Linked DNA regions of Canis lupus familiaris. Each later gene encodes a partner of the first gene's protein in a complex. Links are inferred from orthologs where the notes say so. Each region holds a gene or a part of one and is shown on either strand. Other genes may lie near its edges.

Region 1 (3,272 bases):
TCCACATGTCCAAGGTGAGTGACTGGGCTTAATGTTCTGTTCAATGAACAGAACTATCTGTGGCTTATGGTGAAAGTAAAATGGCTTATAAAATACGGTAAAACTCTAAGTGATACACAATTGAAGTAAGATTAGCAAGATTAAAGCACCAATTTTCTTTCCTATCATTTTCTACCCAGCTTAAAGCAGAGTTTTGTATATGTGAGGATCAGACTGAGCTATATAGTATAAATAGATACACATACACGCACACATAGACACACAGATTCAAAGGAATGATGGTGTGACTCAATAAGCCATCTGGCTTGTCAATTTCTGTAGCAGGAGGAGAAAGAAAACTTTTCCATAATGCTCATACAATAATTAAATCGATATCCGGACAACCTACTTCTTGTAGCTACAGAAATGCACAGTACAGAGTCATGCTGTTGGGCACTAATGCTGCGGTACAGCACCATTTAGCCACAAGGACCTGGGAGCCATGCTCTCTCCAAAAGACTAGAGGGGCAGCTCAGCAAACAGCCAGCTGTGTGACTGCTACATGAACCTGAACATTTTTCACAAACTGTACACACGTACGACAAAACAAACACACAAATTACTCTTTTATTTGTAATCAAAATGTGAATCATCGCTGTAGTGAATAAAAATTCATGAGTCAGAATAACATGCAATTTTTTTATTGTTTTCTAAATCTATTTGTACACTTAATACTCTAGTATTAACTTCACAAACAGTGTAAAGAATGTACTACAATAATAGGCTGCATCTACTCACCGGAAAGAGAACAAAATATTGCCTCTGAAATAATTACTAATTATACAATATTGCAAATGAAAGCACTATAAATACTAAAATGTTAACAGTTCAATATATGTCAATAACATCCTGCCTTTTTTAAATTGGTTAAAAACATTTGTTAAAGTCATGCGAAATAAAACTTTAAGGAAATGTTAGATTATACTCAAACATCAAAGCAATGAAACCCAAAACAGCAACTATTTAGTGCACTGACTGGTCAACTAAATAATTTATTCATCATATTAATAAAAATCTATTAAGTGAAAACCATCACAAATGTAACACTAAATTTGGGTAATTGCACATTCTATGATCTCATCATCTATGATCTTATCTGTGACTGAGGATACACTGCCAAAATTAATTCTACATAAATAACCTATACTAAAACAACAAAAAAATTCAATGCATGATTACAGGGTCCACTTCTAGTCCATATGATACTTAAATGTGCTCATTCTCTTAACCCTGCTAACAATAAATGGAAAATCTCATCAGTTCTATCTGCTTTCTTACTCTTGCTTTGTTACATTTTTAAACTTTTTAGAGAAGTATACCCTTTCTTATGGTCCTCCCCCAGGGTCAGCATGCTAATTTTGGAATAGTTGAAGTAGACAGATATACTCTACCCTGGTATAGAGGGCAATAATTTAATTTTACCTAATTTAATATTTCCTTGTCATTTGTCAAGTGACACTGATCTTTCTGATATAATTATTTCCTCATTCTTTTGTCCATGAATATTTATTATATCCTATTATTATCCATGTCTTTCTAATTCTCCAGAGAAAGAATTCATGTTTTTCCTCATTGGTAGGCTAAGAAACTTGGGCACACCATTTAAAAGAGTCACAGAAGAGACCAGGTTCTCAAGCTGGTACGTGTAGCCAGGTCTAGGATTTGGAGGAGAGCATCCAGGTCCTAAAGAGGTTCTTGGTCCCTCCCCACAACCATTCTCCTAGCAGCTCATAAAGGTCTCATCACTGGGGCTTCATTTTGAGTACTATTCATTCATCTTCTTAACAATTTTTAAAGCCCTTGTTAAACAATTTGTCTATTATATACAACATTGGTTCTCAATTTATAGAGCATTTAGTCTCTGGACTACTCCATAACCTATAAACTTTGATCTGTTACCCTCTAAGAGCAAAATTTGATTCTAGTTCACCTAACACCATGTCTTCCTTTGAATATTTGACAAGTGAATGTTGTACAAAGAGAGAGTCTCTACCTTTCTATTTTCACACCCTTTCCATCTAAGAAAATATTTCTGACTTATCTTTATACTCAGATCTTGTCTCAAAAAATTTTGCGGGGGTCATATGCCAATTAAAGGTACAATAACAATAGTGAGTTTTTACCTAATTAAAAAGACAGTGGAAGCTGATTAATAAACCACCCTTTCTTATACTTTCCTTTGTTGTATAGTGTGTTTCTTTTACCAAAGACCTTTCCATTCATTATTTGTGAATGAAACATACAAAGATGACGCACATGGATGGACTCATTATAAACTCAGGTCAATTTTGTCATAGGGGTATAGTAATACTATTCTGCTTTTGCTTGTTTCTCTCAAAGAATGCTTTCTCTTTCCTCTCCAAAGCCTGTACTATCAGAAGAGGCCACTGCATGGAGCTCTGAAGAATCCTTGGAAAGCCTTGTGTAACTTGAACGTTGGCTTCGCTTATGCGTCATGCTTTTTAGGTTTTCATTCTGAATAGCAGTTGGGTTGGAACTGGAACCAGGCCTCAGAATGACTTGGGAAGTCTCCCTCATTCCTTCCATGTCATCAAAATTCTGATTGGATCTGTTAGCTGGCGCACTGTTGTTGTTCAGGGTCACAGTACTGGGTGTTCGATTCAGGTTGTAGGCTTTTTGACACGCTGGCCAATTTTCTTCAGGACTGCTGGCTATCAAGCTACATTCAGAAGGGCTTTTCTTGTCTTCGGAACAAATGGACATCCGAGCTATAATTGGATCTTGTAGGCCACTCAAGCTATGTGGTATTCCCCTTTTTCCACTGTGGCTATCATCTTCAAGCTCAATGAGATTTGCCTTTTCAAGCTGGGAATCATCAGCCCCCTCATTGTGAAGAGAGTGATTGGGAGAACTTTCGCTGGATCTCACTCCTGAATCAGATGAGTCCTTTTTGTCAAGGAGGGCATCTGACAAATATTCTTTTGCTTTAATGAAGGTTCTAATCGGCTCAGCGCTGTGTTCTGGAGACTTTGATACTCTTTCTACTTTCCCTTCAACTTTTTTATCTTTATCATCTTTGAGCAGTGGAGTATTATCTGATTCTTCTGTCCCAGATTCATCCTCATCACTTGGAAGTTTTTGATAGCGCAATCCACTTCCCTTAAGCTTCAAATCTGTCTGGAAGAGACTTGACCTTTCTGAAGACTTCTTGCCTGGGAGAAGCTTACTGCCTGACTGATCAGATTTCTCATCTTCTTCAGTTATAGGATCCA
Region 2 (3,948 bases), on another chromosome or scaffold:
TAAAATCATAGCATATAATTTAAGAGCCAAATTATATCAGATAAAGAGACTGCTAAAAGAGTGCCAAGTACATTTAATTAAGTTTGTAATATCATTGGATGAGTTTTCACCATGATCTTAAATTTCTCATTCCCAGTATTTCTTGGTTTACACTGGCAGTTTAGGGTATGGATGCACATTCATACCCTACCTTCTGAATTATTTGGCAACAGGCCCCCACTTTCATCCCATTTGAGCTCAAAACTGTAGAAGCAGATCATATATTCCAGGTCCATCAGTATCACTGACAGGCTGTTCAGCTGATCGGCCAGCCAGAAATCAGCAAAGCCTACCTTATGGAAGGGGGCTGTAAATACTCGAAACTGGGAGAAAGAAAAAAGAAAAAAAAAAAAAAAAAAAAAACAGAAACAAGAAAATTCATATTAAATTTCTCTAATTTGTGTCTGATCATGCAGCATGATTACTTTAGCTGATAAAATGAAAACCAATAAACCAATCACAAACACAGGGCGGGAGCCTGGCAACAGTGACTAGGTTGAGAATTAGTAGTGAAGGGAATGAGTTGAATAGATAACCAAGAAAGGAAATTAAAGCAGGGTAAAGAAGGCAGACATAGCTATAGTTAGAAAATAGAAAGCAGAGAGGGTGGGAAGAGTTGAAGCTGAAAGCAGAGGGTGGCAGAAGGTAGAAGCACAGAGAGGATGTCTAGTGTTAGTCTCTAGGGTAAATTTTGCTAGAGACTCGTGCTATGATAATTTCTGGAATCTCCTCCCATCTCACTAACTGAATACAAAGCTTTTGCCTACAAGAGATAGGAAAGGAAGGGTGGTACATCACCTGAGGCATGCCTGCCTATTCTCTAACCAAAGTCACTTTCATTTCACTAATGCCATGGTAATAATGGTATTTGTCTTGAAATTATGCCACAAAAATCAGTCCATATCCCACTGTTATAAAAATGATGTTAAATGAATTCATATTAAAAGTACTGAGCATTGATCTGTGCTGTATATTTTTCTCATAATGTATTTTTCATAATCCATTTTATGAGCCTGGTACTATTCATATCCCCATTTTACAGAAGACCTACAACAAACTCATCCTGACCTATTCTGTGGAAGACTGTTTTGCACTGCAAAGTGAAATCTGGCATTGCAGAGAGGAAAACTTAGATACTAATGTAATCATCAGAAACCGGCTCCAATTGTGCAGAATGCCTTGAGAGGCCCTGAGGAAAGTGAAGATGGAATGAAGGCAGCTTTAATCCTCACCCTGTCAGATCCTTTCTATCTTAAACAGGCAAAAATGAACTCCTAAAACAAAGAATTCTCACTGAGCAGCAGTTTTAAGAAAATAAGTCTAAATCTACAGCTCTCTTGCCACCTAGCTATATTCATTTAACAGACATATTCAGCATGGGAGACTAATGGTTCTTTCCCCTCAGACTTGGCTGATTCTATTTGTTCTGTAAACATTTCTCTTTATTATTTGAGGGAGATAAATGGCTATATTATGAATTCATCCTGGATATCAACTATCTATGAAAGGAATTGGGTTGTGGCTTTGGAAGTTAGACCAGATATCTGCAGGGCATAGTAAAGGTTTTGCGGTGTTTTCTGGAGCTGATATATTTTGAGGCCATGGCTCAGTTTCTTGATCATTCTCTTGCTCTTTCAATAAGCCAGAGAGAAAAGCTATATCATTAATGCAAACAAACTACTAATTTGACATGTAAGTATCAAAATAAATAAATTTATAATAAATTTTTAAAGCTTTTTTTGGGGAGGTGTATGGCATGTAAATTACATAAATTTGAATTTAAATATGGATATAAGTGTCATCCAGTGCCTACCACTATGGTCAGGTGATTTGTTCTTTTTCACTAAAAATTAAAGAAAAAAAAGAAGGAAATGTACCTTACTTATAATGAAACTTTTTAAAAAGCTGTATCAGAGAAACATAACTAGGGTGGAAATATTTTTGTTAATTCACTAGAAAGAAGTCTCAGGTTAAGTTTTCTCAGTAAGACCTACTGGTCAATTAATATTAAAATGCTCTATAAGCAACATTTTTCCTGTATACAAATGTTATTACAAATATAACAAACCACAATGCTTCTTTCTGCACTGCACTGCTTCTGATGGTACATTTTACTATTCTCTTGTTCCTTATTATATCATCACTGTCAACCTACTCCATCAGTAAGTCCTCATTTACTAACACATAGCAGATGCATTGATAAATGTCTACTGAATGGGGAATCATTCTGCTAATAAGACTAACTGGTCATGCATGAATCATAGCTTACTATTTAAACAGAGAAGGATGCATTGGGGAAATGTTCACTTAACACAATGTACACAATGATAATATTCTGTTATTGCAATACAGTCATATTAACATCTGAGTTTTCTGAGTCCTTCAAACTATGTTTCAAAACAACTTTATAGAGATTTCACAATAATGGAAGCAAGAGACAATAGGTATTTATAATCTTATATATTTATAATCTTAAGGTTATTTCCTTGTAACAAGAATACCACATTTTTATGCAAGTTTTAAAACTCCACAAATTCTAGCAATAAAATGACAATCTCAAAATAAAAAGGTAATCTAATATTGTACTAACTGGATATGATTTAGTTTTAGTTTAAATTTTAAAAAAACTTCAAATTTTTCTTGTGTCTTAAAAAAAAATCCTCTAAAAAGCATGTTTTCTAAATGATGACAAAATGTATAAAAGGTGACTGCATACTTTTTTTTTTCAAAATACTCTTGCACATCTAAGTTCTACATTTAGACCCAAAGTTAGGCTAGTGGTGCTATACTTAATGGAAATGATTTGCTCTTTTAATTATTAATACTTAATGATGGAGGAAAAGAGGGATATTCTCAATTTGTGATAAAAATCCTACTGGAGGAAATAAGAAATACAAATAAATAATAATCAGCTTTGCGGGAAAAAAGATCAAAGAAATCTGGGCCATTTTCTTTTCCTGATTGCTATGAATACTTAACCTGTACTAGAACATAAGTGGCTTTTTACTTGCTGTGTGCTTACTGCTTTTTAATAGGAAAGCCGTATTACATGTCTTCAGATAAAAATTTAAGCAATGCTAGATACAGAAAATGTATTGCTAAGAACAAAAACATTCTGCTAAACTTAAGGGCCATACAAAAGGAAAAAAGAAATTAAAACTACAGTTTTCATGGTAGTATACTTCCTAAGGTAGAAAAAAAGGTAAGATAGTAATTATAAGAATTCTAAAAGTATGTAAAGAGACTAGTCAATTGAATCACTAATCTTCACTTTATTATTAGTTGTAATTCATAACCCAAGAAATAATTACAGAAGAGCATTCTTGATTAATTTTGAAAATAGAGCTGGTTTAATTTAGGAGTAAGCAGAAGTCCCCTCCCCATGCTATCTTACACTATCACAAAAAAAATGCAGCTACTATTTTTCCAAGAAATTCTATATCCTAATGCTGAGACTGCAGGATTTTGAGATCATTAAGAAATAGGTAAAGTAGAAGAAGAAATGGAATTTATTATAAATAAATTTATTATTATCCAAGTCAGCTTCTCAAGTTAAAGCTTTCTGGTAAGATATTCTTGCTGATTTTAGAGAACTAATCTTTTGTAAAATCAAAATAGCTGACTATCAATTTACAGGAAAAGAATAGTTTCACCACCTCTTAAAAAAAAAAGAAAAAGAAATTCATAGAGTTCTACATGTTATCATAGCTGGTTAAATAATTTGTAAAAAGTACTTAAGTTGTTCACGAATTTATTATTAATTTGCAAAATCATTTCACTATTGGACACTTCATATTCCATTTTAGGAGGAAAAAATGCGTGAGTATTTTTCCCAGGGTGACTGTACTGTACAATATAAGGTGTACCAATTACACTATATTCTTTGCCCCTGGCTCTAGAGCACCATTC

What was found. The genes of interacting proteins can lie anywhere in the genome.
Region 2: the proteins of KIDINS220 (region 1) and XPR1 are in contact, whole or in part, in a cryo-EM structure (PDB 9JXQ), measured with the Homo sapiens proteins. The link is inferred for Canis lupus familiaris from reciprocal best matches to the Homo sapiens genes KIDINS220 and XPR1. Residues at the interface, in NP_065789.1 of Homo sapiens: Glu36, Cys37, Gln39, Asp70, Trp72, Met102, Trp105, Trp110, Tyr113, Lys114, Val138, Ile142, Trp143, Gly146, Arg147, Ser166, Asp167, Lys168, Tyr169, Gly170, Trp176, Arg179, Lys180, Gln198, Glu199, Gly200, Ala201, Ser203, Lys234, Arg267; in NP_004727.2 of Homo sapiens: Leu95, Lys189, Lys190, Gln193, Glu197, Ala200, Asn204, Glu205, Ala636, Asp637, Asp638, Leu641, Leu642, Gln644, Met645, Met646, Asp647, Gln648, Asp649, Asp650, Val652, Arg653, Asn654, Arg655.

What each region holds. Positions count from the first base shown.
Region 1 is NC_049238.1:5,992,883-5,996,154, forward strand, and holds the end of KIDINS220 (kinase D-interacting substrate of 220 kDa), read right to left. Parts: coding exon 2,374-3,272; 3' UTR 665-2,373; downstream 1-664. UniProt on the Homo sapiens protein: Promotes a prolonged MAP-kinase signaling by neurotrophins through activation of a Rap1-dependent mechanism. Provides a docking site for the CRKL-C3G complex, resulting in Rap1-dependent sustained ERK activation.
Region 2 is NC_049228.1:14,194,075-14,198,022, reverse strand, and holds part of XPR1 (xenotropic and polytropic retrovirus receptor 1), read right to left. Parts: intron 363-3,948; coding exon 191-362; intron 1-190. UniProt on the Homo sapiens protein: Inorganic ion transporter that mediates phosphate ion export across plasma membrane.